Xenopus tropicalis: one gene and its partners. The main gene of each other region encodes a partner of the protein of the gene in region 5 in a complex. Links are inferred from orthologs where the notes say so. Each region holds a gene or a part of one and is shown on either strand. Other genes may lie near its edges.

Region 1 (6,680 bases), on a different chromosome or scaffold from region 5:
CAGTCCAGATAGGGGCTACCAAATAGCCAATTATAGCTCTTGTTTGCACCCCCGGGACCTTTTTCCATGCTTCTGTTGCTCCCTAACACTATTTCCATTTGAATGTGGCTCATAAAAGGTTGGGGATCCCTGCTCTACCTCTATCTACTCCAACTATAAAACAAAACAAAGCAGATTTAACTCAAATAGAACAAAGTTAACAAAATGGCATAAAGACACTCTATTTAAAATAGTAGTAAGCTGAGCACTGTTACAGAAAGCACTTGTTATCAAATGCTTATCCATGGCAGTTGTGTGTTAAATACAACCCTAATCAGTCTGGGAATAGACCAGCACAGCCGCTGGTAAGATGGCGGTGTGCTTATCTGTTGTGTTTCCAAATGGTAAATTCATTATAACTAGAAACACCTGTATACATACACTATCTGTAACATCTATAACAATCATTTTTGTGTTAGTTTCCCTTAAATGCTTCCTACTCAAACTATTTTTTTTTATCAACTTTGTAATTTTGTGATATTAAGAAAGGACAAAGTCTTTTGCGGCTTTTTGTGTCTGGTACTGTGGGACTGGCTCCAACTCATATGCACATGCACATGCATTCATGTACACATATAGAAAATCAATAAAAAAGTAACTGCACTCACAGGCCTTACTAAGTGTTAGGAAACAGTTTTATTGTTAACGTTTTGGTCACATACAAGATTTTGCTCCATTTGGCTAATTAAAATGTGGCCAATCCAGAGAATGAATCAGGTCATCAATTGGCAGTTTTTTCTTTTTTGGATATTTACTTTCACCAAGTAGCACTGAAGGCCTAATAGTAAATACTTAAGACATATGATGTAAACTACACTGGTGGCCTGTAATTAGCACGGCTCCCTGAATTTGGTTCCAATCTGGGCACTGTATGTTTTTCCTGTGCTTGTGTGGGTTTCCTCTGGGAACTGTGATTCCTCTTAAACCATACAGTGAGCTTTATTGGCCTTTGATGAAAGTGACCTTAGTGTATGTAAATGATATAGGGACCTTAGATTGTAAGCTCCAATGGCAAAGGGGCAGATGAGTATCATAATCAATGCAATGTGCTGCATTTATATATGAGTGATATATAAATAAAGGATAATATTTAAAACTGAGGAAAAGGGATGCAATATTGCCTAGTATGTGGTATATGTATTAAGCTTTTTACACAAACTAACACGATCTTCTTAACTCACTGTTTCTTATAAATTCATAATTTTGAATGCACGTGATGGCTGGATAGATGAATGATAATCTTAGTTAGGTAGACTAATCTGTAACGTTGTCTTCAAGAATGTTTGTTAGGTGTAAATAAAGCTGTATACAAACGCTTTCCCATGCGTTCCATCAGCAACGCATCTGCGCATGCCTGCCTTTGCCTGCCCGCTCTCACGTTTAATTGGTTGGCTAGCGGTGAGGTCATTAGGAGGCGACACGGACACGCATGCTCAGAGGTTCACGGGTTGTCAGTACTATGGCTCCTTGAAGGAGTGCACTGTGGAGGTGAGCCGCTGTAGCCTTATGGAATAATGGTAATACTGTGTGCTTGCTTCAGCTGCAGCCCCATACCAGGTATATAATGGAACTTGTTGCGGTACAGGCAGCTATGCAGGGTCCTTCAGGGCTTTACCACTTAGGCAATAAAGGCACATAGTATCCAAGCTCCTTTCTGTCATTTACATTGTTTTGCACCAACTTGACCTTCTTTTGTTATGTCAGTCTCTGCTGAAATGATGACCTTGCCTTCCTAAGCTTCTGCTTCCAGGGGTAAGCCTTTTGGTTATTGATGATGATCTCTCTGTATATGTATCAGCATGCATTGCTAGGAAATGTATGAGCCCTAAACCCACAATACCTACTTAGCACATGTCTCTGTCCCTTCCCCCAAGCGAGTTGCTCTCTTAAACTTCACACCTTACCTGATGCTCCCCACTGCTGTAATGTATTCAATGTTGGTTGGTTGCAATGGTGCAGATATGTTTGTAAATAACCCCCCCCCCCCAAGAATCTTTGATGTTGATAATTGCGCCCTGAGGAAAAACACAGTAACTTCTACAGATTTCTTTAAAAAATGTATTTGTATTTAAATGTCTTAAATGATATTGTCTTTTTCTCTCAAACCCCAAATTATTTTTAGGTAAAGGCCCCTGGGTTTCATGCAACATTCAGGATTTTATAAACTGAACATTTTTATTTTATATCTAAACAGCAATGGCTTTAAGCTTAAATATAATACAGAAGCTACATCTGTGCAGACATCCCAGATGGACTAAACCATTCTGCCCATTGTTGCACCCGTCTTCACAACTCTTGCAATGCAAACTGTACAGCAGCAAATATCGCAGGCCTGGCCTCCCCCCAGACAACACTCCTCCTTGGAAAAGGATCAATTTCAGCTTTGAGAAGGGAGTGGCAGGAGTGAAGAAACACTTTGGGTTGCTGAAGAAGGAAGTAGAGGATCATTTGAGAGGTCCTGGGGGAAAGACTTTGAGGGAGAATATTTTGGAGCAGACAAATGTTGTTTGGGAGTTCAGAAGCTTAGAGGATCTGGACAAATGGACTCTATCGTCAGACCAGGAGATAGGAGGGAAAAGTCAGGTGTCTCTAAAGCTGGGAAGGAACAATCAGACAGCTCTTTTTTATGGTACCCTCAATACTGAAGTTCCTCGGGATGGCGAAACAAGATACAGTGGGTACTGCACTATGAAGTCCAAAACCCCTTTGGTAAGTACAGTGCTAGTAAAGAGAAATAATGCACTTCCATGTAAAGGGGTTGTTCGCCTTTATATTTACTTTTAGTCTGATGTAAAGACTGATATTCTGACACAGTTTGGCTTCTGGGGTCAGTGACCCCCATTTGAAAGCCAGAAAGAGCCAGAAGAAGTCAAATAATTCAAAAACTATGATTAAAAAATATTGAAAACCACTTGAAAAGTTGTAACAAATAAGTCTACAGTGTAACATACTAAAGCTGAACTTAAAGAATCACATCTGTTGCTAAATATTTTTAGTGTTCATAAATTTTTTTTTTTTTTTTTAAATGTAACTTTTAAATATGAAGGAATAGCAAATTCACTGTGGGATGCCAATATGTTGGGCGCCCCCCGAGTGAATAAAATTGCTATGTCTTTATCCCTGGGGTTGGTGCTACTGTTGGGAAAAATACACAGTGCTACATGGCTTAATTACCTTTCCCAGGCGTCTGTAGGGCAGACTTAAGGCCATACATGGGCAGATTTAAGCTAGATAAGCCACTCAATGCAACTGCAATAGGAAAGCATTGTTGTGTTTTAGCCTCTGCCCTTGAGCCACTGTCCCTCTTAACAACAGTGTGGTTACTATGCAACACAGAAGAGCTGCGGAACAGAAGCTACACACAGATAATAACTGTCCAAATAGTTATTATTGTTGTTTTAGAATAGCTCTACCCATTTTATTGGTTGCTAATGGGTTACGGCACCTAGGCAAAATTATTGCCTTTTTATATATTGGGTTAAATATATGGCAGTGTCAGGGGGAAATGTTCTATAAAAGGCAGTAAAGGTGTGGGTTGCTGTGCTCATTATTAAATGTTTAAAGGCTACACTGTACCATTTATTCACTGCCTTTATTTAATATTTAGACTGATCTGATAGCAGTTCCAAATAAAAGACTAATGAGAATGTTGGTGAACTGCTACATTTTATATTGAAACCAGTTAAGTGTGCACAGTCTGTTTATTGAATATTTAATGGTAGGTATGTGCAACATGCATCAAACTACAGTGGCCATTAGGGAAAGCTGGAGATTTATAGCTGGAGGGCCAACGGCCTTTGGTTTTTGTTACTTACTGGAGTGGACCATTACCATTTCCATTATAAACAATTTTTATGAAATATGCATGGTTTACCTCCAATTTATTTCCTCTTTTAGGTAAAAGGATTCTGTCATGATTTTTATGGCATACTTTTTATTTCTGAATTACACTGGTTACATAGCAAATAATTCACTCTACCATTTAACACTTTATTCTTGAACCAACAAATGTATTTTTTAGCTGTAATATTGGTGTGTAGGCGCCATCTCAGTGCATTGTGTGTCTGAGCTTTCAGAAGGAGCCAGTGCTACATATTAGAACTGCTTTCAGGTAACTTAATATATCTCCTACTCCAATGTAACTGGAGGAGTCCCAAGCCGGACTTGGATTTCTTGCTATTGAGTGCTATTCTGATACCTACTGGGAGCTGCTATCTTGCTCGCTTCCCATTGTTCTGCTGATCGGCTGCTGGGAGGGGGGATATCACTCCAACTTGCAGCTCAGCAGTAAAGAGTGACTGAAGTTTATCAGATCACAGGTCACATGACTGTGGCACCCTGGGAAATGAAGAATATGTCTAACCCAATGTGAAATACAAAATAAAAAATGTTTGTGCTTTAAAAAATTGTATTTCAATGCAGGATTCTGCTGAAGAAGCTGTATTAACTGATATATTTTGAAAAAATGTTTTCCCATGACAGTTTTTCTTTAAGTATTTATCTCCATAAACTTTAATGTAACAGCTCCCCCAGTGGCCAGATAATAATGAACGTTAGCAGACTGCCAGCTTGGCTTTACCAACAAATAACATTTCACATGTGTGATTGCAACCATGGCCTGTCTTCTCCAGAGTAATAAATCTGTCATTGCAAAAACCTCAGGGTATAAATCAATGCACATAAATGTTTCATGATTGTTTGTTTTTAACATGTAGGGAGCATTCAATCGTAAGCTGCATTATGACTGGTCCAACTTTAACACTCTGTACTTGCGAGTACGTGGGGATGGACGACCTTGGATGGTGAACATCAAGTCAGACAGCTATTTCTCCCAACAAAGGGATGATCTATACAATTATTTCATATACACCCAAGGAGGCCCTTACTGGCAAGACATAAAGGTAAAAGAAAACCATTAAATCCTGTATTTGAGGTTGGGATGAGTTTGCCAAGATTGGGCAAACTAATATCTGGCTGTGTAATAGTTTAATCCCATCTAAAAATGACAGATTGCAGCCACTTCCTGCAGAGAAGAGGTGTCATTAAAAAAAACATCAAGCTTGGGCAGTTTAAGCATGGGGACATTGGACTTCCGGTGGGTGGGCCTTCCTAATGGATGCCATTGTTCTGAGTTTCCTGCTTAGACAGAGGGGTGCCCCATTTCACCCTGCCCGGACCCCTTAGTTGCCCAGAGCACAAAGACTATAGCGGATGGGATGAGTGTATAAGGATAACGGGCAGAAAGTCCTCATTTTTCAGGACTTCTCTCCCTCTGTAACCCAGAGGAGATGGGAGTTTCCCCCATCTGTAAACATCTATTTAAACATAAGGTTTTGCACTACAATATCCTGAGAGTTACACGTAAGGGATGAATCCTAACCTTTCTTTTTTCCTTTTCGGGAAAGGTTCAAATAACTGGCAGTAAGATGTGAAAAAATAATAGCAGCTAATGGTAGAAAATATTATGCAATTTGTATATCTGATACAGGACCTGGGCACTGTGCCAAATGACAATTGTAAGGAGGCTTTAGAGTTCTCATTGTTTGACTCTTTAAACCTGAAAGGATGATACATCCATAAGCCTTTATTAAATGGCTAAATGTCCTAGATGTGTGCTGGGAAAAAGTTCTGTGACCCTTATGCTTTGGGCCTACACGCAAAGTATCGGGAGGTGGTTAGTAACACACTGACCAAGCAGCTTACCTGAGTCTCTGCCTACTTGGCCTTCATTAGTGACCACCTCCTACACACCCAGAGGCCAGGCTAGGCTCGGCAGGCTATAACTGTCAAATGGAAGTTGCTTACTTCCCCAAACAGGATTGGACCAGTAATATAAAAGCTGGGATTTACAGAAAGTAAACCTACTGTAATTGTGTATATTAAAACCTTTTTTTTTATCTGTTTATCTATGTACTTGCTCCTAATGCACTTTGCTGAAAAAAAAGTACTATGTAGAATACCAGCCTGTATTGGCCTGTGTAAGAAGCAGGCAGTATATGGGGTAAACACAATAATGATGTATATATTGTATGTACCAGTTGCTCAGTCAATGTCTCAGACATCCATAAATGCTTTATGTTTGCTTTGTTTGTCCACCTCAGTGCAGAGAAAATGTGTACATCTCATTGAGTAGTTGTTGTCTCTGGCAGATCCCTTTCTCCAAATTCTTCTTATCCAGTCGTGGCAGAATTCAGGACAACCAGCATCCTCTATGGACTGACAAGGTGTGTAAGTTAAAAACAACCTAGGAACATAATTAGAGATAGCGATTGGAAGCCTTGTCACAGCCATTCCTGTGTGCCAGTATTAAGTCAAAACCATCTGTGGAGGGCAGTAGCCATGAATGGGTATTATGGGTATATATTGCATTGTGTCTTGCTACTGATAATGGATTTGGGGTGTGATTTCAATAGCTGGAGCGCATGCAATCTGTATGAGTGGTTTGGCACATCCATGTTCTCCCACCAAAGGGATGACAATGTCATCTTACACAAGTTACACTCTGCCAGTGGGGTATTGTGAGTTGCCTAAGAAGCCAAAAAGGAAGATTCATAAATTGGTTTGGGTTGCTGATCATTATTAGAGTTGTCAGATCTGTAGTTTTAGGATTATTTGGGATGCTCTGGTCCCAAAAATTGATA
Region 2 (6,139 bases), on a different chromosome or scaffold from region 5:
AACTTTGGTACCTGTATGGTCAGCTTAAAGGAACAGTTCAGCATAAAGATTAAATTGGGTAAAATAGATAGACTGTGAAAAAATATTTGTAATCTAGTTAGTTAGACAAAAATGTAATCTATAAAGGCTGGAGTGGGCAGATGTCTAATATAATGTCCAGAATCCTACTTCCTGCTTTACAACTCTCTAACTTCTTAGTTAGTCAGTGACTTTAGTCACTTTAGTTTGCTCACAAACTAACTGACAGTTATGTCCCTTGTGCCCCCCCCCTAAAGTCACTGACTAACTAACAGACTAGAGAGCTGAAAGTGTTCAGGCTATTATGTTAGACATCTGCCCATTCCAGCCTTTATAGATTACATTTTTGCCCAACTAACTATATTACAAATATTTTTATTTTGCGCAGTCTGTCTGTTTTACCCAGTTTCTTTTTTACATTGAACTGTTCTTTTAAAGGAACAGTAACACCAAAAAATGAAAGTATATAAAAGTAACTAAAATATAATGTGCTGCTGCCCTGCACTGGTAAAAGTTGTGTGTTTACTTCAGAAAGTCTACTATAGTTTATATAAATAAGCTGCTATGTAGCCATGGAGGCAGCCATTCAAAGGAGAAGAGGCACAGGCACATAACAGATAAAACACTATTGTATTCTACAGAACTTATCTGTTATCTGCTATGTAACCTGTGCCTTTTCTCCTTTTTTCCAGCTTAAATGGTTGCCCCCGTGGCTACACAGCAGCTTATTATATAAATTATAGTAGTGTTACTGTAGCAAACACACCAGTTTTACCAGTGCAGGGCAACAGTGCATTATATTTTTATTGCTTTACAGCTCTTTCATTTTTTGGAGTTACTGTTCCTTTAAGAAAGGAAACAGAGGACAGAATAGTTCTATAAGAGAGGGCTCTTGGGCTCACACACATGCCTCAGACCACTAATACCTTGCAAGAATCTCAACCATCATGTACTTTGAAGCTAGGGCTGAGTGCTTGTAGCTGCAAACAACAAATGAACAAAATATACTTTATTAACACTATATAAATTATTTAAATGTTGTTTCCTTCAGCAGTGGGAGTGATTCACTATCATAGCAAGCACCATTTTGTAGACATTTGCATCATCCTAAAATCTTGTGTATGCACCAGAATGGGGGACCTCAGGACCCACCCAAAATATATTTATAGGCTCCCTCTGCACAAAATTGTTTGTAACACGTGGGGAAAGCAAATTTGTCGGTCACGTACCCACTGCACATAATCACAGGGGACCTGCAACAGGAGCAAAGTTCCAGCTCACCTGTGACACCTCTCTCTCTCTCTCGTAGTTCAAGAAAGCAGACTGCTGGACCCCCTGTACCCCTGGGCTCCGTCTGCAGCTGTAGAGTCTGCTTCCTTGGTTTATGCCACTGATGCCCATGCACAGTCTTCACATTTCAAGCCCCGATGGGCCCACACACCCCAGTCTGACTCCTGAACAGCCCTACCACCATTTTCATTTTATTTAGTCAGAAGCTTTTGGGGAACAGGCACACCCAACTTTTCACCAGGTGCAGATCAGATGGGGAATCTCATCTCTCCCCCTCCAAATTACAATAGTCCAAAACATACTTTGATGCACTGTGGATTTTTTTTCATCAAAAATACAAAATCATTCTCTTTATTATATCAATGTTTTGACACCACAGAGGGATATCTTCCTCAGAATCCTAATATTTGCTAAGGGGCATAGTTAACAATTTTTTTCCCAGCAGAATGGATAAATAGAAATGCATTAACAGCACATATCATATATAGGGTTTCAGTGATGGTGAGACCATATAATTCAAGCAACCTCACATCCTGCCTGCTTCAATACTTGCAACATAAATATATTTTGTGCCCTACTCTTGGAGTTACTCTAAATGCTTATTATACCGGTGACCAGACCTTGACCTTTTGCCCAGGGGTGAGTGTGCCTAGAACCCTAATTTCAGTTGATTCAGGCAGGCATCTGTTGAGTCACAGGGTATTACTAGATGATATACAATCATTGTCATTAAAGCCTTAGAGAGAACAAAACAGCAAGTTACTCCTTGCTTGTCATTGCTGGCTAAGCATATCGGACTGCATGATGATAACAGTATTATACTGATAGGGAGCCCTAAGGACAGGTGGTAACCTTAAGCAACCACAAAAGCTGCTTATGTGCTGCTATGACATATGCTAAGGATTGCATGTTTCTTAGGGTATCTGGGAATTTCAGCCTGATACCAAAGCCATGGAGGCTTTAACAGCAGGGATAACTTTATGTAATAATGACTCGCATTCCATAAGCATGTCAATAAAACATATATAATAATATAATATTCATGTTATACAGAGGAGTATGTCATAGCATGTTAGCAAAAGTTTCCATATCCTGATATTGGTGAAACTTTGTATTTAATAAGTAATTTTTGCTCTATTTCTGCACTTTTGCCTGATCCCATATAAGTATTTCCTGTCCTGTGCAGGCATGTTATGGCTTGCTGGTTATTTATTTACTTGTGCTCAAACCACAGTACACTACGTTCATGGGCAGACTGGCAGACTGAGGGTGCCCACTGGTTTATACTTGCTGGTTACTTGCTGTGCCGGGAACTGACTGGATGCTCAGAGGGACTTGGATGCTTTATGAGCAGTGTAAAGCTTGGGTACCACAGCACAATAGCATTTAGCCAAGTCCCAATGCCACCAATATAATGATAGTTTGTGCATGGCTGCAGTAATAATATGTAACCACATTTGTACTCATTAGTAAATGAGTCCCCCTTTTTTCACAAGCTTCATACCTCATTGTAACTATTGAATGCAGTGGTCTCAGTTACTAAAGGACATCACAATGGGTCAGCTGTGGAAAGTAAATTTTCTATAATACAATATTAACACAGACAGTGGAAAATAGCAGTCTGGCCACAAAACGACATGTGCCACTGGTCGCTAGATAAATAAAGGAAAATAATACAAATAGAAATGTTGTTCTATGCCAGTGAAGGTATGCTGCTTGAGATGCACTCCACCTTCTCCTTCTTCCCTGTTATTAACAGAATCTCGCAGAACACAATGCACACAAATATGTAGGTAGGTCTCAGAACAGAAGCTTATTTCATATCATAGGAATTTGTAGCATGCTTGATAAAACAACCACTCAGCCTTAATAATTACTGATGTGTTTGCAGATCAAGATTCCAGTCTCAGGAACGTTGTCAGCTGGGCACCTTTATACCACGTCTGTCAGAGACCGAGTAAATAACAGGTGGGGGTGTGTGGCTGTATTGTTGTGTGGCCATTTTATCTACCTTTATCCTTTAATTAATATTTTCTTAAAAATACCATAACATATTTATAGGAAGAGAAACAAAACGAGATCTGTGTCTTAATTGTGCATGTTTCAGTCCAGTCCATGCTCTTAATGATGTTTCACTATGCCCACCAATCCATATGTTACAATATAATGCTAAATGTTTTGCTTGTATAGCTGCAAATCTACCCACACTATTATTTCTGATAAGGCAAAATAAATATAACAACGAGATTACCAGTTACCTACCTACCTAAAGGCCTTCACATGGTTCTTTGGCTTTAATTTTTGTCTGCTGTTTTAAATTTTGGAGCCTTTATGGAATATGCAAAATAGTATTCTTGTATCAGGGATGTTTAACCTGTAGCCCTTTAGCTGTAGATAAACTACAACCACCAGCAATCTTGCTGATTTGGGAAAGAGTGACGACACCTGTGGAGCCACTTGTGTATATATATATATATATATATATATATAAATATATATATACAGTATATATATATTATAAATAAGCCACCCCATATGTTCTGCACTCATAATGTACACACATAATGTAGCATCTGCCTGTGTGCTGCCATATGAGAATATATAAATTCACATAATAAACAACAAACATACTCCAGGGCTTCATAATGTGGTGAAAAAGAAAAAAAGTATTTATTTGTCAGCCTTTCGGTTCATGTTTGGGACCTTTCTCGAGACACAGAAAAACAAGATTTTTGTCTCTGTCTGTCCGTCCCTTCAGGTGGTCTCTTCAGGAAGTCATCTTGCAACTGAATAATGGTCTGCGCATTCCAATCCATGAATCCAATGTGGCAGATGGAGATGAAAAGGAAACTTTATAAAATATTTTTGTTAAGATAATAAAACCGTTTTTTCATATGCTGCATGTTTATTAAGGGAACTGATACCTAAAATAAATATTTATGGGTGATATAAGAAAATAAACTGTGGATTATTGGGGGGGTTATAGTAGGGGTTGTGTAATGAGCTTTTGTCAGGATTGCAAATGATCTGCAAAAATCCTTCAGGTTCAGTCAACTAAATCCACGTATTGCGAATTTAGTGTATAAAAAGAGCCATTAAGTGCTGCTTACATCTACCTACCTCAGGTTTTATTGTGTAAAGGACTTTGGTTCCCTTTTTTTTGTTTTAGCGAGGATTTTGCTAACAGATGAAAGTGTGGAATAATTGATTTTATGTTCATCCTGCATGAGCAATTCAGTCAAAATTAACAATTCAGGACTATGGCATTCTTTTTCACTGATTTTTATGTACCCTTTTTTATGCATCTGCATTAATTGTTAATTAGCCATACAGGGAATTGGTAATGGAAGAACAAAAGAGAGCCTTTAATGGCCTCTCCCCATTCAACAGTTGTATCTGAGATTTGTGTTCCCATTTTTCTGCCCCCAACCAGAGGGCTGGTATTATTGACAGGAAAAAGTGGCAACCCAATGGACAGCCTGCTGTTTTCTCTCATTCTCTAAGCAGACAAGGTTGAGCCAAGAACCTGAAGCATGTAGTTCAGGGTCCCCAACCTTTCTTACTCATGGCCACTATCAAATTTAAAAAGACTCACAAGCCACTGGTTGGAGATCACTGATGTAGTGTATGTGACTAAAGGATAGTGAGTGGGACTAATATCTGCCACTGAAGGGCTACTGTGAGTTGTATAACATCTCTGTTTTTTGCATGTTTCCCTAACAATTTTCTGTTAGGTGCAGTGTTGGACTGGCCCACCAGAATACTTGGAGAGCTACTGGTGGGCCCTCCTGCTCCTGACCATTTGACCTTCATGGTCATTCCCTATTTCTGAATGAAAACAAGGAGGAGAAATAGCAGAAGGATATATGCTAGCATGTAAATAAAAGAGACTAGGAGAATAAAGAGATTGGGTGAGGAAAGGAGGTGGAATATCATTGTTATTATCCTTTATATATTGTGCTGACATCTTAGTCAGCACATTACAGAAATTATACATCATTCACATCAGTCACCTAACCAGTGGAGCTTACAATATAAAGTGCTCTTACATGATGGGGTTCTGTACCAGCCCAAGGCAACCATGGCCCTTTAGCAGGGAAGATCTGTGCCTCCAAATATGCCCCAGTAGCTCCTCATCTTCTTTCTGCTAATTCCCTGCACATGCTCTGTGCTGCTGTCAGTTACTGAGTTTAGGGACCAACTCACAATATACTGTATACAGTATAATTATAAATGTTACAATATAAGGCTGAATAGTAAATAATTTGATGATTGTTACATGGCATCTCTGAACCCAGTTCAAATACCCTCAGAATTTAATAAACAGCCCTGTAGCATTAGCTTGTATGACAGGCAAACTCCATTTTCTACTTGAAAATGTGTGACAACTCCTAAGCTTAGATTCTCAACAGCTGCCCCGAGCACACTGAGCATGTGCGTGTCACTGACACTCCCAAACAAAATCCAGGATGGGAAGCTCCTGTGACAACTTTGAACCCTGGAACTATGGCATTTCTAGCTATATTCATTTTTAGGATCTAGATATAATAATATTTCTGTTCTTCGCACTAAATGACAATGCAAACCAGTGCTTTAGGTACTGTCAAGCTGAACTTATTTTTGGTGTTCTTTTCATTTTGCAGTTATATAAGGAAAGAACTAGAATAACCAGATAAAAGAAATGGCAGTTGGAAGGAGTTTATATAATAATTGTTTTGTCAGGCCTTTTCTTCTCTAACACGTGGATTTGCTCTTTCCTGGTAGAGCTTTTCAATAAAAGCCAATCCTCTTGACATATTTATTTAATGGGAAGACATTGCTTTCTTTTACC
Region 3 (6,143 bases), on a different chromosome or scaffold from region 5:
AGAAATGGAGGGCACTCCTGGCTAGAATATCCTTGCCAGGAGTTATTATATATACAAAAAATAAGTATAAAGTATCCAGGTGCTAGGGTTTTAATAATCCCCCCATAAGAGGACTATACACATCCACAAAAACCCTGCACACCAGAATAAACTTTCCCAGGGAGGTATTTATAATTAAAAAAAACATTTTATTCATTTAAACAAAGGCGTTTGAGCGGAAACGTTGGGGTATTCTCTCATCCAGATTATCTGCCTTCATATCTTGTTTTTCAGTTATTACACTGGGGGTATGTATTTATTTGCTTTTTGATGGATATACAATTTTTAAGGTTGATACTTTTTTCTGTATCATGTTTAAATGAATAAAATGTTTTTTTTTAATTATAAATACCTCCCTGGGGAAGTTTTTTCTGGTGTGCAGGGTTTTTGTGGGGTTTTGTACCTAGTGGGCAACCACTGCATATTGTCACCTGAGTAATAGAACTTCCCTGGAAGCTTAATCAGAAATGTTATCCTGTGCATGTCGTCTTCCAGAAACAGGTGACCTGCTGTCTTCACACATCTCCGCCTCCTGGGCCTCCCCAAGCCACTTCCTCAGCCGGCTCGGTTACTCCATACGAGGATGTGTTCCAGAGGGAGCAGAGGAACAAAGCCTCCTTTGTGGAGGTCCTTGATCTTTACTGCAACCGAGATGTGAGGAGGAGAGGACATGTGGAGATCATAGAGGCGGCTCTTAGATGGATGACGGAGTTTGGGGTGGAAAAGGACTTGGAGGTTTATAATAAATTGCTTGACGTGTTTCCCAAGGAGGTCTTTGTCCCCCAAAATTACATCCAGAGGATGTTCAACCACTACCCACGCCAGCAGGAGTGCGCCATAAGGGTGCTAGAGCAGATGGAGAATTACGGTAAAGAGCCTACTACTTACTACACTACTTACTATGGGCCAAGGAGGGGGCTATGGGACATGGAGTCTGTCCCTCCCACTGCAGGGTGATACAGTGACACAGACAGGAGGGGGCTATGGGACACGGAGTCTGTCCCTCCCACTGCAGGGTGATACAGTGACACAGACAGGAGGGAGCTATGGGACATGGAGTCTGTCCCTCCCGCTGCAGGGTGATACAGTGACACAGACAGGAGGGGGCTATGGGACATGTCTGCCCCTCCCACTGCAGGGTGATACAGTGACACAGACAGGAGGGAGCTATGGAACACGGAGTCTGTCCCTCCCACTGCAGGGTGATACAGTGACACAGACAGGAGGGGGCTATGGGACACTGAGTCTGTCCCTCCCACTGCAGGGTGATACAGTGACACAGACAGGAGGGAGCTATGGGACATGGAGTCTGTCCCTCCCGCTGCAGGGTGATACAGTGACACAGACAGGAGGGGGCTATGGGACATGTCTGCCCCTCCCACTGCAGGGTGATACAGTGACACAGACAGGAGGGAGCTATGGGACACGGAGTCTGCCCCTCCCACTGCAGGGTGATACAGTGACACAGACAGGAGGGGGCTATGGGACACTGAGTCTGCCCCTCCCACTGCAGGGTGATACAGTGACACAGACAGGAGGGAGCTATGGGACACGGAGTCTGCCCCTCCCACTGCAGGGTGATACAGTGACACAGACAGGAGGGGGCTATGGGACACAGAGTCTGCCCCTCCCACTGCAAGGTGATACAGTGACACAGACAGGAGGGAGCTATGGGACACGGAGTCTGCCCCTCCCACTGCAGGGTGATACAGTGACACAGACAGGAGGGGGCTATGGGACACGGAGTCTGCCCCTCCCACTGCAGGGTGATACAGTGACACAGACAGGAGGGAGCTATGGGACATGGAGTCTGCCCCTCCCACTGCAGGGTGATACAGTGACACAGACAGGAGGGGGCTATGGGACACGGAGTCTGTCCCTCCCACTGCAGGGTGATACAGTGACACAGACAGGAGGGAGCTATGGGACATGGAGTCTGCCCCTCCCACTGCAGGGTGATACAGTGACACAGACAGGAGGGGGCTATGGGACATGGAGTCTGCCCCTCCCACTGCAGGGTGATACAGTGACACAGACAGGAGGGGGCTATGGGACACGGAGTCTGCCCCTCCCACTGCAGGGTGATACAGTGACACAGACAGGAGGGAGCTATGGGACATGGAGTCTGCCCCTCCCACTGCAGGGTGATACAGTGACACAGACGGGAGGGGGCTATGGGACACGGAGTCTGTCCCTCCCACTGCAGGGTGATACAGTGACACAGACAGGAGGGAGCTATGGGACATGGAGTCTGTCCCTCCCGCTGCAGGGTGATACAGTGACACAGACAAGGAGGGAGCTATGGGACATGTCTGCCCCTCCCACTGCAGGGTGATACAGTGACACAGACAGGAGGGAGCTATGGGACACGGAGTCTGCCCCTCCCACTGCAGGGTGATACAGTGACACAGACAGGAGGGAGCTATGGGACACGGAGTCTGCCCCTCCCACTGCAGGGTGATACAGTGACACAGACAGGAGGGGGCTATGGGACACTGAGTCTGCCCCTCCCACTGCAGGGTGATACAGTGACACAGACAGGAGGGAGCTATGGGACATGGAGTCTGCCCCTCCCACTGCAGGGTGATACAGTGACACAGACAGGAGGGGGCTATGGGACACGGAGTCTGTCCCTCCCACTGCAGGGTGATACAGTGACACAGACAGGAGGGAGCTATGGGACATGGAGTCTGCCCCTCCCACTGCAGGGTGATACAGTGACACAGACAGGAGGGGGCTATGGGACATGGAGTCTGCCCCTCCCACTGCAAGGTGATACAGTGACACAGACAGGAGGGAGCTATGGGACACAGAGTCTGCCCCTCCCACTGCAGGGTGATACAGTGACACAGACAGGAGGGAGCTATGGGACACAGAGTCTGCCCCTCCCACTGCAGGGTGATACAGTGACACAGACAGGAGGGGGCTATGGGACACGGAGTCTGCCCCTCCCACTGCAGGGTGATACAGTGACACAGACAGGAGGGAGCTATGGGACATGGAGTCTGCCCCTCCCACTGCAGGGTGATACAGTGACACAGACAGGAGGGAGCTATTGGACATGGAGTCTGCCCCTCCCACTGCAGGGTGATACAGTGACACAGACAGGAGGGGGCTATGGGACACGGAGTCTGTCCCTCCCACTGCAGGGTGATACAGTAACACAGACAGGAGGGAGCTATGGGACATGGAGGCTGCCCCTCCCACTGCAGGGTGATACAGTGACACAGACAGGAGGGGGCTATGGGACACGGAGTCTGTCCCTCCCACTGCAGGGTGATACAGTGACACAGACAGGAGGGAGCTATGGGACACGGAGTCTGTCCCTCCCACTGCAGGGTGATACAGTGACACAGACAGGAGGGAGCTATGGGACATGGAGTCTGCCCTTCCCACTGCAGGGTGATACAGTGACACAGACAGGAGGGGGCTATGGGACACGGAGTCTGTCCCTCCCACTGCAGGGTGATACAGTGACACAGACAGGAGGGGGCTATGGGACACGGAGTCTGTCCCTCCCACTGCAGGGTGATACAGTGACACAGACAGGAGGGAGCTATGGGACATGGAGTCTGCCCCTCCCACTGCAGGGTGATACAGTGACACAGACAGGAGGGGGCTATGGGACATGGAGTCTGCCCCTCCCACTGCAGGGTGATACAGTGACACAGACGGGAGGGGGCTATGGGACACGGAGTCTGCCCCTCCCACTGCAGGGTGATACAGTGACACAGACAGGAGGGGGCTATGGGACATGTCTGCCCCTCCCACTGCAGGGTGATACAGTGACACAGACAGGAGGGGGCTATGGGACACGGAGTCTGCCCCTCCCACTGCAGGGTGATACAGTGACACAGACAGGAGGGGGCTATGGGACATGTTTGCCCCATATAATAAACACAAATAGTGGATACTAAGCAGACAGATTTCTCTCTTTTACAATTTTTTGTAGGTATCACCCCCAACAAGCAAACATGCTTTCTCCTGCTACAGATCTTTGGGGCCCGCAGCCACCCCATAAGAAAATACCAGCGTATGATGTACTGGTTCCCACGCTTTAAACACACCAACCCCTTCCCGGTTCCTGCTGAATTACCAGCTGACCCAGTGGAGCTATCCAGGATGTGCCTGCATCGTATTGCCAACGACTTGGATTCTAGGGTCGCCGTGTACCAGGCGAGTATTCTCACACCCACCTACTGTCATCTGTAAAAACTGTGTGCAAGGAGCTAACAGTCTGTTCTGATAATATACAGATGCCCTACACAGAGAAATGCGACGATGGCAAAGAACGGGAGCATCTGCACGTTGTCGGTAGGTGTTGCTCTGTCCCAGATACACTATGATGAGAGGGTTAATCAGTTTAAAAAGAAACAGTATTTCAATATGTTGCACTGCGCCACCTACTGGTGGGGCCACAGAGGTAAAAGCAAAGCCTGTACTCTCACTGCTTTTCACTTTATGGTGAACAAATTGAATTGCCGAATCTATTGCTCCTGTCTGTACCCCCTTGTCGGTAAGTAGGGCTTGGTTATTATATTCCTATCACTGTGTCTTTTGTAGGTATTCAGTCTCCCAGTCAGGTCTCCCTCCTTGCTGCACACAACCCCAGCACCCCTGTATACGTTGAGGGGCCCTTCCCGCTGTGGCTCAGGAAGACGTGTGTGTACTACTACATCCTACGTGCTGACCCCGATCCTATGAGAAAGGAGGTGAGAGTTGATTCCATTAAATGATTAAGTGGGTGTGTCTGGGATCTGTACCGATTGTTTCAACACTGTTTGGCGTTAACATCTCACAACCCACGTGTCTAATTAAAGGAGAAATATGCCAAACTAACTGTTGTGTGACTTGTTTGTGTGCTTTTGAAACTGAATACGCAGGAAGCTTCTCTCTTGCTCTAAATGGCAGGCATGGAAGCTTCCATTTGGCCCAGGATGGTTTCCAGGACCCATTGGGCCCTGCTGGTAATCACTGGCCTGATATTCACTTGCCAGAGGGGCTTCTGTAAGGTGCCATAGACCAGGGGTCCTCAAACTTTTTAAACAGGGGACTATAGTTAGTCCTACCCCCACCTCCACTGCGTCCTCATCCCTGGCTACTACCAGTCTGCCTCAGGGTGGTCCTCAGCCCCAGCGCGTCACATCACCGCGTCACACCAGCCAAGACAAATGACGCTAGACAGGTAGTAGCCAGGGGTGAGGACGCAGCGGGGGATGGGTAAATGACCTTGGGGGGGCTGTATCTGGCCCGCGGGCCATAGTTTGAGGACCCCTGCCATAGACAGTCTGGGCTGGTGGCGGGGAGGCTGGTTGGGCCTCTGTGTACTTGGAATACCAGGGCCAATTTGGATCACTGGCAGAAGAGAACAGTTCTGAGGGACAGAAGAACCAAAAGTTTAGACTAGAAGGGAGCTGTGGAAAATGGTGGGTTATACCATTTCCAGATCAGTCTGTGACCCAACCCCATATTTTCCACTAAAAGTTACTGGTTGGCCAGTCCTGACTGCAATCAAAAATAAATGTGTGATGGTCACCAAGAACTCGTACCTGTGATTTCCTGTGATTCTGGTTACAATTGATTCACACTGATGACATTGGCTGTGGCTGTAAGTGTGGCCATAAACTGTATATATAAGGGGAGAAGGAAAAATTCAGCATAGCATATGCTCGGAAATGTACTCTAACCTTACTACACCTCTCTCTTCCCTAGGAGGAGATAGACAATGAGAGGAGCTTATACTATCCCCTGAGCTTGGACCTGGAGCTGGACAGGGACCTGGGCGATGATGACAGCTTTGATGTTGATGATGGTAAGAAGGGGTTCTGCAATGCTCTGTGTATCTCTGGGGCCATTACGTACAGTTCTATCCTACATTGGAAAGTATGGGTAGGGTGGGGGTTGGTGTAGCTTATTGGGTGAATAAGGTAAAAGGGCCGACCCTGGTTGGATAGAGGTGACTGACATATAACACACACTACCAGAGGTTTCTTGTTCCCCAGAAAATATCCTTTACTGACCCTTCTAAAATATGAACCCTCATTGGTCTTTCACCTACTGATGATGTACCCTTCTTTATTTCCCCTGTTACAGTGGAGGAGGGC
Region 4 (6,634 bases), on a different chromosome or scaffold from region 5:
CAGATATTATTTAAGTAGCAGTGTGATATTGTTTTTGTCTGAAAAAAGAATATATTATTTTCACTTCCCCTATAAACATTTTTTCTGGTTCACCCAGGCCGTAGTTTGCATGGTAAGCCTAAATATAATTTTATGATTACTGAAGGCAAAAGTAAGGAATTTAATATACTGTATGCATCTTGGAACTCAAGAGTTTTCGTGAATCTTGCAGTAAATGATATAACAGCATATGGGACATTTTCTCTTCAGTTAAATAGGAAACAGCACTCTGGCTGAAGAATGCCAGTACTGGGGCTGACATGTGTTTCCTATTAGAGTGAAAGGGATGCAGAGGGATAAGAGAGGCACTTCTCTGCCACCAGCCTAATAATCAAAGATGAGATCCTCCATCTTTTTGTGAAGTCAAATTTTTAAAACCCTATTCTCAAGCCTTAAAAATGAATAGAGACTAGGAACAGGGAATTTCATTCTCATGACTTGCCATTTTTATTTCCTTATTTCTGTAGTCCTGATTATTAGCTAGCAGGTTATGTATGTCAGTAACCTGGATACTCACAGGATATTTGTCCATCCTAAACTATCTTCTGCTCATGTTAAAAGGGTATGTATGTGTGCAAATATATCTATATATCATTGTATACTGCCTGAGTGTATTTTACTGCATTTCCAAGCAGGAACTATTATCAACCAATAGAAAAGCAAATTATCAATTTATTTCCAAGCAAACAGGAAACTGAAGCACTTACTTTAATTATTTTTATTTAGGCTAACTTGCACTTTAATTACTTCAAATCGTCTATACATTTTATAGCTCCAAACAGTCTAATAAACTTCTCTTTGTCCAAAATGATTCCAAACTGAGAAGTAAAATACAGTGTGTCTGAGCTACTATATCGTTTGAACTGGAGGATAGTTTCACGTCTGTGGTCTCCAGTCTCTGAGAGTGCTTTCACATCATCAATTGGAATATAAAGATCCTTCCTCTTTCCCCAAAATGTCAGATGGGAAACTTTTAAGGTGGTGCCTGCTGTGTTTAAATATATCATCCCAATAATTCTTCTGAGGTAGAAACTCAGGCAGTACAGCATAAGACCTGCAAACAGTGCTGTGCCAGTAGAATACACAACCCATAAATATGTGACCTGACCTTGAATATAGTAATAATACATGGGCGGAAGGAATATAGCAGTCAGTGCTGTCTGAAGAAGCTTTAGACGAGAAACAGCTCGGCAGTACTTTATTCCTGGAAACTTATAAATCATCGTGAACTTCTCAGTGTTACTGATCCCGGCTAAGAGAGGAGGAGATGAAGAGAAATAAATCTGATTCATTAGAGGAAGTGGTGCTTTGCTTCGATGATGAAGAAAGAGATAAGAACAGCCTTGACATGATGTCAGTGACACTGAAGAGGATCTGAAGAAAGTTGTTCTGCAAAGTAACTTGGAACTCCAGGCCAACTGGCCCATGTGTAAATACTTTATGCATCTAGATATCAGGCATACATGGGCCATGACTGGGTCCTGCAAAGGAGAAACAATATAACTGTTAGATCATAATGCCTTATATATACTCACATTACCTAAAATTTTTCAAGGAAAAGTTCACAGAAAATTGAAATTATTAGCCTTCCTATTCTGCTTATTTTCCACCCACAGCTTTCTATTCTTATCTTGTATTTCTTATCTTTCTGTTCATACCCTCTATTATTCATCTTACATTCTGTGTTCCAAACTACTGCATTGTGGCTATGGTACCTGTTGCTAATTAACTGCCTCTTGGACTGTCTATACCAGTACTGTGCTGCAATTTACATGTAGTGCTCAAATAATTTGTCATACCACATGTTCCAAGGCCAGAATATGTTATAGAATGGCATGATTTCAGCTACTTTTTTTTTTTTAATTTTGTTTTTTAATGATTTGCTTTCCACTTCTGCCTCTTTCCAAGTTTTAAATTCAAAAAGTTATTTCTTTCTCAGGTAACAATTTTATTGTTATTATTACTTATCGTTCATCTTTCAGTCTCTCATTTAAAGGGGTAGTTCACCTTTAAATTAAATTTTACTATGATGTAGAGAGTGATATTCGGAAACAATTTGCAATTTGGATTTTCAGCAGCTAACTGGTTGCTAGGGGTCAATTTAACGTAGAAACCAGGCCCTGGATTAAAAGAGGCCAGAACATTAAAATGAGAGGGCATGTATATAAGGATAAGGCTAAAAAGTTTCAATAATAACTAGAAAGGGAAGTTTGAGAAAAAACTTCATGTTGGGTTGAAAAACATGAAGTCACTGCATGGGCTCCTCCAACTTTCTCTGACCTTGGACCACAGTTATACAGTAAAAACCACTGTGCAAAGTTTGGGGACCCTGGTTTTAATAGTGTCTGAATGGCAGCAACTTAAATTTGATTGGTGGTTGGTGGCTCAACCCCCTTTTTCTAACCTGGAACTGCAGTTACCCAGTGACTAACTCTGGTAAGTTTAGGGACCCTAGGATTAATAGTTAAAGAACGGCAGCAGTTTAAACCAATAAAAGTCAATAGGTGAATTGTGATTGGTGGTTGTGCCCCTTTTTCTAACCTTGAGTCAAAGTCACCCAGTGACAAACAGTGGGCACCCTGGCATAAATAGTGTGAGACTGGCAGCATTTTAAATTTAAAGCAAAATTGAAAGTCAATAGGTAAACTCTGATTGGCTGTTGGTGGCTCCGTCCACTTTTTTAACCTTGAACCACAGTCACCTGGTGCCTAACCCTGCAAAGTTTGGGGACTTCCACCGTCAACAGGTAAAATCTGATTGGCTGTTCACAGCTCCGCCCACTTTTGGGCATCCAACAATCATCATATTTTCATTCAGGCTGGCCCCATGACTATGTGATTCAAGTTTGGGGAGTGTAGCCTCAAAGCTGTAAGATTGGCAGCAGTTTCAATTTCCCCATTAAAGTCAATGGGTAAAATTTGATTGGCCCCTCCCACTTTGGGGGTCATCCAACAAATGTTGCTGTTTCATTCGGGGTGACCCCATTATTATGTTATTCAAGTTTGGGGGGTGCAGCTTCAAAGCTGTAAGTGTGCCAGCAGTTTGAATATCTTCCCTGTCAAAGTCAATGGAAAAATTGGGGGGTTCGGAGCGGCGCAATCGCTTAGAAAAGCACAAGCAACCTGCTCCTCTATAGGCCGAAGAAGTGTGGGGAGTTTGGGTGTTGTACCCCTAAAACTGTAGGAGGAGTAGCGGTTAGAAAATGGGGGGCACTAAGAAGAAGAAGAAGCGGAAGAATAATAATGGGTCAGTGACCCCCCATATGACAGCTGGAAAGAGAATTTCTGAGAAAGGCAAATAATTGAAAAATTATAAAAGTTAAAAAATGAAGACCAATGAAAAATTTGGGACATTCTTAAAATAGTAAAAATTGACAAAAAGGTGAATAATCCCTTTAAAAAAAAGACTTGTGGCAACAATGGATTAAATACCAATGCACATTGGCATAACTAGATGTTACTGGGCATCTTTGCAGTCCTGTAGATTGTAAGCTCTTGCGAGCAGGGCCCTCTCACCCTATTCTTACTCTGCATACCCGTGTTTGTTAAACTTTTTAAAATCCCTGTTTGTTTAAATTTATTGTGAAGTGGTGCATAATTTGCTGGCATTATATAAATGAATGATGATTCTGCCTATTTGAGTAAGTAACAGGGGTGATGAAGGGGTTAAACGCCCTTGGCCACTCAGTTTAACCCATATATCTGCTGGCAGGATGGCAAAGATACCCACTTTGATGCCCCTTTTCCTTAGTTGTTTATCAGACTGAATAAGAAAGGATTGCCCCCTTGGTGCCAGTTTTCCTGCCTTTCCGGGCCAGGCTGGGACAAGCCGGAGTTAACGTAGCGCAACGCTGTCAATGAATGTGATCTGTTAAATTTGTGGTGCAAGTTTATTTCTTTAAAACACCAGTTACTAATAAAACCAACATCAAGGCACCCAACGCCCTTCTTATTTATTTTTGCATTTCTCTTGTGCATAGCAATTTTCTGTTTCTAAATACATCAATTTTTTAAATAAAATGTCATATTTGAACACTTCCTTGTACGAGTTCCCTAAGCCTAAGGGAAGGACAGGCAGCTCGATTCTTCTATACTCACCCCTGTCCGCACTCCTACACACGCTTCTCCTTTGCTAAACTTCCCAGCGCACTAAGCTACAATCACTTCCGATTCCATGCGAGGCATTCTGGGAGATTGAGTTCTTTTGTCAATGAACAGTCGGTGACATCCTGACTCCGGCAATACAGTTCCCGTCATGCTCTGGGCTTCAGGACCCAAATAGGAAGTTGTGATGTGGCTTGTTTGACATTTGAAAGGACTGTGTTTCTCCATTCATCTGAGCTGAGAAAGATCCGACTGGCAGCAGTCATGGCTCAATGTGACGTTCTGTGCTTGTTCGATGTGGATGGCACCCTGACAGCAGCCAGGCAGGTACCAGTATCAGAACCGAGAACTATTCACAAGGATCTGTCACTTTTGGCACAAGTTTATTTTCACACAGCATTGCAAACATGTTATGTGTGTATATGTTGCATTTATATACTGCATGTAAATGCAGTGCTTAAAGTTAACGCAATAGGACAGAGTAAGATTAAGACTTTACCAGAATATAAATAACAGTACAAAATTCTACCCTTCTGCCCCATTAAGTTTATAGTTTATGTTGGATTCCGGGCTGCAACCGGGAATTCATAGTGTATGTTGCATTTCAGTAAAATGCATCCATTTTGACCTGCTAATTGCATAGAATTGATTTAGAAGGGGGGGGGGGGTTAAATTCCCTTTATATATTATAACATTATTATAAGTACTAAGAGGTAGCTAACAAATTGTGACCACATCAGTGATTAAGCTTTTTCCTTGTACTAAGTCTAGAAGTAGGTAAAATTAGGTAAAAAATTAATACATTTCACTTTACTTCTAAAAAAGTGATGGTCAGTGTTTACACCTTCTATGGGGAATAAGTTTTCTTGTACTTGTGACTGGGTTTATCTTTTTTACTGACAAACAACAAAGGTCTTAGCTTGCTTTATGACAATAAACATTTAGTACATGCTGCTTGGAGTACATTTTGGGACACACTGCTAATGACAAGCACTGCTACAAGTAGGTGAAATCACCAAGAAGCTCTGTATCTTCGAGTAATCCTAGATTACTTTTTTTTTTTTATGCACTGTCTGCATAAAAAGTAAGGATAATTTTAACAAAATGCAGATATTGGTTCAAACTGCCATGTTTTTTGCACAATTGAACTCAGCCTGCATTCACACCATGGATGCAGGTCTTTGTGGTCCAGCGAGGAGTTCAAGACCCTGTGCACCCCCAACCTGACAACCTGAAAAAACAGGCACTCTGCAGAGCTGTATTCACAAGGGACCACTGGGGAGGGGGCATATAGGAGTTTTCTATCCTTCCCCCCTAATTGCATTTCATTCTATCTTTGGGAGGCTAAAAATTCATGCCCGCCAGCACATTAATTATTAATCTGCTGTGAGGTGCAGAGCATAGCTGGCCCTTATGCTGGGTAAATGGTCAGTAATAGGCAGAATTTTGAGCCCCTTTGAGCTGTAGCATTTGCACGTGGGACAATGATAAATGACCCCAGCATGTCTTGCATTTACATGAATGATGCAGGCAATAGGGAGCTGAAGTTCAACCATGATAAAGGGTCCATCTTTTGGACCCCATGTTTGAGAGAATTATGAGTACGATTTTTCCCAGAGCAGTATATTTTATTATATTATTATTGTATTTTACAGAAAGTCACAAAAGACATGGCAGAATTTCTAGAAGAGCTGAGAAAAAGGGTAAAAGTTGGGGTTGTTGGAGGTTCAGATTTTGAAAAAATCAAGGAACAGCTTGGAGATGATGGTAAGGCAAACAAACATGACAAAGGCGAATAAACAAAGATGACTGTTGAAAATGACTCCAATGAAACAGCTAAAGAAAGATATAGTAAAGGGGTGGTTCACCTTTAGGTAAGCTTTATAGAATGTTATAGCAACTTTGCAGTTGGTCTTATTATATAAATTATTATTAATAATAATATTAATAAGAATTAATATTTCTTTTATAGTTTTTAAATTACTTGCCTGTCTCTTTTGACTCTTTTCACTGGACCCAGCAGCTGAGGCTACATTTATTGTTATTGTATTAGTTATATTTCTATTTAGGCCCTTCTCTGTTCGTATTCCCAACTCTTGTGCAAACAACTGCCTGGTTGCTAGGGTAAATTGCACCATAGCAACCAGATAGCTGCTAAAATACCAAAGTGGAGAGCTGCTAAAAAAAAACCAAAATAACTGAAAAACCATAAAAATTACGACCAATTGCAAATTGTTTTAGAATATCCAATTGTCTGCATCATACTAAAAGTTATTTTAAGGTGAACTACCCCTTTAGGTAAGACACAAGTGTCCATCACATTTGTGTTGACTGACAACTGTGAATACTGTCAGGCTTCTTACGTACTAGAGAGCACTAGTAGTGCATTCTGCAGAGTGCATAAACAAGAGCAGATTGGTGTGTTTTCTTTATTTGCAGTGAACCATTTCTAAACTGCAGGGACTTGTATTTGCTCCTACAGGGGTCACGAA
Region 5 (5,943 bases):
GGGAGAGAGTGGGTATATATTGGGGAGAGAGTGGGTATATATTGGACAAGTGTGTGGGCATCTATTGGGGGAGAGAATGGGTACAGTTGGGGGAGAGAGTGGGCATCTGTTGGGGGAGAGAGTGGGTATCTATTGGGGGAGAGAGTGGGTATATATTGGGGAGAGAGTGGGTATATATTGGGGAGAGAGTGGGTATATATTGGACAAGTGTGTGGGCATCTATTGGGGGAGAGAGTGGGTATATATTGGGGGAGAGAGTGGGTACAGTTGGGGGAGAGAGTGGGCATCTATTGGGGGAGAGAGTGGGTATATATTGGAGGAGAGAGTGGGTACAGTTGGGGGAGAGAGTGGGTACAGTTGGGGGAGAGAGTGGGCATCTATTGGGGGAGAGAGTGGGTATATATTGGGGGAGAGAGTGGGTACAGTTGGGGTAGAGAGTGGGTACAGTTGGGGGAGTGTAGATGGGGGGCATGGGTATATATTGGGGAGAGAGAGGGCACATTTATGAAAGATAAGGCAAAAGGAAAGTGCCCTCCTTCTTGCACCCCCAGAAGAGTTGCCCCCCCACTCTGAATGTTGCACTGACTGCAGTTCTGCGGTTTTGCAAGTGACGGGGGGTCAGTAATGAGCCCCAAAAGTGACAGCCCTGGCAGGGCAAGTGACCATCCCACAGCTCACCCATAAGGACTTGAATCCCCACTTGGTACTTATCTGGCAGAATAAGGGGGTGCCCATGGGGCAGTTGGGGGGGGTGTCACTCATGTGATGAGACTGATGTGCTGTCCCTTTAAGGTGAGACCCCGCAGGAGGAAGAGAGGAGAGGCCGGCGGGCCGAGTACCAGCAGGAGGGCCCCAGAGCTAATACTCAGAGCATGAGGTTCCACCGGTGCCTGGCGGCTACAGAACTGGCAGCAGGGGGGCCCCAGGCCAGTAGCGCTCAGGGCCGGCTGGAGGGGCTCCTGAAGGATAAACCTGCCAAACTGTCTCTGCGCCGGGCCGGCCTGGCACTGAAGGTATGGGGGGCCCCCAGCACTGGGGCGCAGGGAGTACTGGAATGAAACATGGGGCAAGTGCTGGGGTAACAGGGCAGATTACTGGGGGGGGGGGGGAATGGGCCGGCATTTATGATGAATTTATTCTTGTGCAGCCGGTGCCGGCGCTGTCTGTGCTGCAGAACTCTGGGCCCAACCCCAATTACATTGGCCAGGAGGGGGGGCAGCTCCGTGCCAGTCACTTTGTGCCAGGAGAGTTGGGGCGCCACCGCCTGACGTGGGAAGGAAACGCAATCCCCTGTCCCAACACAGAGCGTGGAAAGTTCCAGCAACTGAAAGGCCAAGACTTCAAGTGAGTCCAGTTATAGTTACACTACAGCTCTGGGGGCGGGGCAACTTATTATTAGCAATCCTATTGGCCAGAGACAAGCAGTGGCAGACAGGGGGGTGGTGTGCACCCCCAAATACAGTGCTTATATCTTTGCTCCCCCACTGTCAGCCCCACCCTCCTCTCCCTCCCACATTTCTATTCCCCTCCCCATTTCTCCTGGTTGGTTATTATGGGAATGCCCTGGGTCAGGCCCCGGCCCCGTGGGTTACTATGGGAATGCCCTGGGTCAGGCCCCGGCCCCGTGGGTTACTATGGGAATGCCCTGGGTCAGGCCCCGGCCCCGTGGGTTACTATGGGAATGCCCTGGGTCAGGCCCCGGCCCCGTGGGTTACTATGGGAATGCCCTGGGTCAGGCCCCGGCCCCGTGGGTTACTATGGGAATGCCCTGGGTCAGGCCCCGGCCCCGTGGGTTACTATGGGAATGCCCTGGGTCAGGCCCCGGCCCCGTGGGTTACTATGGGAATGCCCTGGGTCAGGCCCCGGCCCCGTGGGTTACTATGGGAATGCCCTGGGTCAGGCCCCGGCCCCGTGGGTTACTATGGGAATGCCCTGGCACCGCTGGTTACTATGGGAATGCCCTGGGTCACGGTGGCAGCACCAAACATTACCCTGTATGATTCCTTATTCCCCGTTTCTCTGCCGCAGCCTAAACTGCTCCCAGCACTCGTTTCTGTACAAAGGAGAAATAAAGGATCTGAGCCCAGAAGAGAGAGGGGTTCTGCTGGCGCTGGCCCAGACCCGGGCACAGGGGGGCACAGAGCCGGGCACAAAGAGAAGGGTTCAGGCCTCCGGCAACATTATCCAGACCCAGAGCCACAATGGATTCCTGCTGCAGGTTCAGTAAACTCCGCCCCTTTCACATATGAGAATAATGATTCGCCGGTGGATAACAGAGTCGCTGCCCTTTATTGTAGCAGAAATAAAACAGCAGGTAAACTTCCCCTTTATTGTTTGGGTGTCACTTCCTCCTGGTGTGATTGGCTCCTGGGCACATGGGGCGGTGCCTGTTCAAACCATTACATCAAGGACCACAAGCTCCGCCCAATCAAAGTCAGTAATACTGTGGCCCCCAGCATTGCAATAAAGAAGGCACACAGGGGATTCTGGGAGAGGTAGTTCCACTAAAGCTACAGGCCTGAAGGCACTTACGGTGGAAACGGAATCTTCCCGACCAATCAGAAAAGGAGATCAATGAAATTTAATCAAAATCTGGTACAAAGTAGCGATAAGTTCTGTGCAAACGAACCCCCAGCTCTGGGCTCTGATTGGTGCGACTGGCGCCTACGCCCCGGGGTAACTAAGTCCATTGGGCAAGTGCCGCTCAGAAGGTTCTGTCCAGGGGGTGGGAGCAGGTGTACCCCCTCTTCTCCAGAACGTGCGCCGCGATCTTCCGGATACTGTCGTCCTGGTTCTCCGGGGAATCTGCGCGGAACAGACAGCTGATTGGCCGGCAGCGTGAGGGGTCAGCGCTATTGGCCGGCAGCGTGAGGGGTCAGCGCTATTGGCCGGCAGCGTGAGGGGTCAGCGCTATTGGCCGGCAGCGTGAGGGGTCAGCGCTATTGGCCGGCAGCGTGAGGGGTCAGCGCTATTGGCCGGCAGCGTGAGGGGTCAGCGCTATTGGCCGGCAGCGTGAGGGGTCAGCGCTATTGGCCGGCAGCGTGAGGGGTCAGCGCTATTGGCCGGCAGCGTGAGGGGTCAGCGCTATTGGCCGGCAGCGTGAGGGGTCAGCGCTATTGGCCGGCAGCGTGAGGGGTCAGCGCTATTGGCCGGCGCCACACAGGGGATAGTTGGCCTTTAAACTGACTATAAGTATTTCCCGAAGTGAAATTCCTCTTTGCAGTTGGTCTTCATTGTGCCCCAACCCTGAGTCCTTGCCTTGAATACCCGGGATCTCCAACCCCACCCCACCCCCCCCCCCCCCCCCCCAGCTGCCCCCCCCCCCCCCTAGGGCACATAGGGGCCCCAAACTGAACAACAACAGTTAAAAAATGGAACCTGTGAAAACAAAGACCAACTGCAAAGCTGCTTCAGAACCTCACTGCTCTTAGAGGCCGGGCCGGGGGCGGTACTTACGCTTGCCCAGCTGGGCCAGGGTGTAGTTGTTCTTGAAATAAGCCTCGGAGCAGAACATGTTGGCCAACAGCACCTGGGGGGGGCAAACAGGCAAATGAGACCAAATGAGGTGCTAGGGACCCACTCTCGGGGTACTGGGCACACAGACTGGCCCCTGGGCCTATAGGAACCGCACACACTGGGTGCTAGGGACCCACTCTCGGGGTACTGGGCACACAGACTGGCCCCTGGGCCTATAGGAACCACACACACTGGGTGCTAGGGACCCACTCTCGGGGTACTGGGCACACAGACTGGCCCCTGGGCCTATAGGAACCGCACACACTGGGTGCTAGGGACCCACTCTCAGGGTACTGGGCACACAGACTGGCCCCTGGGCCTATAGGAACCACACACACTGGGTGCTAGGGACCCACTCTCGGGGTACTGGGCACACAGACTGGCCCCTGGGCCAACAGACAGGCTACTGGTTCCCCTGTGACCCATTTTAGAGGTTCGGGGAGAGCGAGATCTGTCACTTTATTTAGCGTGAATTGGTCCCCGGGGGGCGCTGTTTCATTGGGGTCTATTTGGGGGGACCTGACTTCAGTTACCAGAGAGAAATCAAGTGTGGGGCCCAGTGGGGCTAGCTGGGATGTCTGTAGGGCAGAGTGTGGCGCAGCACCAGCGGGCACCAACCCACATCCACTTCAAATGCCTTAGACTCTACCACCATTGCAGATAGCCCTGGTGGCTACTATAAGTACTATTATGGGTGCTACTATAGGTGCTACTATGGGTGCTACTGTGAGTACTACTAAAGGTGCTACTGTGAGTACTACTATAGGTGCTACTGTGAGTACTACTATAGGTGCTACTGTGGGTGCTACTGTGAGTACTACTATAGGTGCTACTGTGGGTGCTACTAGAGGTACTACAGTGGGTGCTACTGTGAGTACTACTATAGGTACTACTGTGGGTGCTACTGTGAGTACTATTATAGGTACTACTGTGGGTACTACTATAGGTGCTACTATGGGTGCTACTGTGAGTACTACTATAGGTACTACTGTGGGTGCTACTGTGAGTACTACTATAGGTGCTACTGTGAGTACTACTATAGGTACTACTGTGGGTACTACTATAGGTGCTACTGTGAGTACTACTATAGGTACTACTGTGGGTACTACTATAGGTGCTACTGTGAGTACTACTATAGGTACTACTGTGGGTACTACTATAGGTGCTACTGTGAGTACTACTATGGGTACTACTGTGGGTACTACTATAGGTGCTACTGTGAGTACTACTATAGGTACTACTGTGGGTACTACTATAGGTGCTACTGTGAGTACTACTATGGGTACTACTATAGGTACTACTGTGGGTGCTACTATAGGTGCTACTGTGAGTACTACTATAGGTGCTACTGTGAGTACTACTATAGGTACTACTGTGGGTGCTACTATAGGTGCTACTGTGAGTACTATTATAGGTGCTACTGTGAGTACTACTATAGGTACTACTGTGGGTGCTACTATAGGTGCTATTGTGGGTACTACTATAGGTGCTACTGTGGGTACTACTATAGGTACTACTGTGGGTACTACTATAGGTGCTACTGTGAGTACTACTATGGGTACTACTATAGGTACTACTATAGGTACTACTGTGGGTGCTACTATAGGTGCTACTGTGAGTACTACTATAGGTGCTACTGTGAGTACTACTATAGGTACTACTGTGGGTGCTACTATAGGTGCTACTGTGAGTACTATTATAGGTGCTACTGTGAGTACTACTATAGGTACTACTGTGGGTGCTACTATAGGTGCTATTGTGGGTACTACTATAGGTGCTACTGTGGGTACTACTATAGGTACTACTGTGGGTACTACTGTGGGTGCTACTATAGGTGCTACTGTGAGTACTACTATAGGTGCTACTGTGAGTACTACTATAGGTGCTACTGTGAGTACTACTATAGGTGCTACTGTGAGTACTACTATGGGTACTACTGTGGGTGCTACTATAGGTGCTACTGTGAGTACTACTATGGGTGCTACTGTGAGTACTACTATAGGTACTACTGTGGGTGCTACTATAGGTGCTACTGTGAGTACTACTATAGGTGCTACTATGGGTGCTACTGTGAGTACTACTATGGGTGCTACTATAGGTGCTACTGTGAGTACTACTATAGGTGCTACTATGGGTACTACTATAGGTGCTACTATGGGTACTACTATAGGTGCTACTATGGGATAGGAAGTGGGACCTGGAGCTAAAGTGAGTACAATAATAAATAAGACCAATAACAGGGAAATGATAAGGAATATAATATTTATATGAGGAAATGGAGCCGCAGAGCTGCGCAGGGGGGCCCCCTAGTGACCAAATACATTTATATTCTCGCACAGATGATAAAGTTACAAATTTTTTTTAGTTTATTTCAATCCATTAAACCCCACACAGAGCCCAGCGCTCCCCCCGCACTTACCCACCGGC

What was found.
Region 1: acad9 (region 5) and ndufaf1 share a complex: the UniProt entries of both Homo sapiens proteins name them as parts of the mitochondrial complex. The link is inferred for Xenopus tropicalis from reciprocal best matches to the Homo sapiens genes ACAD9 and NDUFAF1.
Region 2: acad9 (region 5) and coa1 share a complex: the UniProt entries of both Homo sapiens proteins name them as parts of the mitochondrial complex. The link is inferred for Xenopus tropicalis from reciprocal best matches to the Homo sapiens genes ACAD9 and COA1.
Region 3: the proteins of acad9 (region 5) and ecsit are in contact, whole or in part, in a cryo-EM structure (PDB 8PHE), measured with the Homo sapiens proteins. The link is inferred for Xenopus tropicalis from reciprocal best matches to the Homo sapiens genes ACAD9 and ECSIT. Residues at the interface, in NP_054768.2 of Homo sapiens: Leu180, Thr181, Asp188, Ala189, Ala190, Ser191, Ile192, Lys228, Lys239, Asp240, Lys241, Ile242, Phe293, Ala296, Met297, Leu300, Ile431, Met434, Tyr435, Leu438, Thr439, Leu441, Gln442, Gly445, Thr449, Leu516, Gly520, Lys521, Ile523, Met524; in NP_057665.2 of Homo sapiens: Pro321, Glu322, Glu323, Trp324, Asn325, Leu326, Tyr327, Tyr328, Pro329, Met330, Leu332, Asp333, Leu334.
Region 4: acad9 (region 5) and tmem186 share a complex: the UniProt entries of both Homo sapiens proteins name them as parts of the mitochondrial complex. The link is inferred for Xenopus tropicalis from reciprocal best matches to the Homo sapiens genes ACAD9 and TMEM186.

Annotation. Positions count from the first base shown.
Region 1 is NC_030684.2:115,759,959-115,766,638, reverse strand, and holds the start of ndufaf1 (complex I intermediate-associated protein 30, mitochondrial), read left to right. Parts: upstream 1-2,232; 5' UTR 2,233-2,233; coding exon of another isoform or gene 2,234-2,235; coding exon 2,236-2,748; intron 2,749-4,754; coding exon 4,755-4,940; intron 4,941-6,140; coding exon 6,141-6,263; intron 6,264-6,680. UniProt on the Homo sapiens protein: As part of the MCIA complex, involved in the assembly of the mitochondrial complex I.
Region 2 is NC_030682.2:57,123,071-57,129,209, forward strand, and holds the end of coa1 (cytochrome c oxidase assembly factor 1 homolog), read left to right. Parts: intron 1-3,199; coding exon 3,200-3,276; intron 3,277-4,066; coding exon 4,067-4,166; 3' UTR 4,167-4,257; downstream 4,258-6,139. UniProt on the Homo sapiens protein: Component of the MITRAC (mitochondrial translation regulation assembly intermediate of cytochrome c oxidase complex) complex, that regulates cytochrome c oxidase assembly.
Region 3 is NC_030679.2:139,302,754-139,308,896, reverse strand, and holds part of ecsit (evolutionarily conserved signaling intermediate in Toll pathway, mitochondrial precursor), read left to right. Parts: intron 1-534; coding exon 535-907; intron 908-3,991; coding exon 3,992-4,215; intron 4,216-4,295; coding exon 4,296-4,353; intron 4,354-4,602; coding exon 4,603-4,751; intron 4,752-5,751; coding exon 5,752-5,851; intron 5,852-6,132; coding exon of another isoform or gene 6,133-6,143.
Region 4 is NC_030685.2:38,351,077-38,357,710, reverse strand, and holds tmem186 (transmembrane protein 186), read right to left. Parts: upstream 4,232-6,634; 5' UTR 4,137-4,231; intron 1,521-4,136; 5' UTR 1,512-1,520; coding exon 783-1,511; 3' UTR 598-782; downstream 1-597. Other genes in the region: pmm1 (phosphomannomutase 2), read left to right, coding at 4,407-4,469, 5,798-5,909. UniProt on the Homo sapiens protein: As part of the MCIA complex, required for efficient assembly of the mitochondrial complex I.
Region 5 is NC_030680.2:151,577,542-151,583,484, reverse strand, and holds the end of acad9 (acyl-CoA dehydrogenase family member 9, mitochondrial), read right to left. Parts: intron 3,530-5,943; coding exon 3,457-3,529; intron 2,806-3,456; coding exon 2,705-2,805; 3' UTR 2,271-2,704; downstream 1-2,270. Other genes in the region: uncharacterized protein KIAA1257 homolog, read left to right, coding at 793-1,013, 1,148-1,344, 2,029-2,227. UniProt on the Homo sapiens protein: As part of the MCIA complex, primarily participates in the assembly of the mitochondrial complex I and therefore plays a role in oxidative phosphorylation.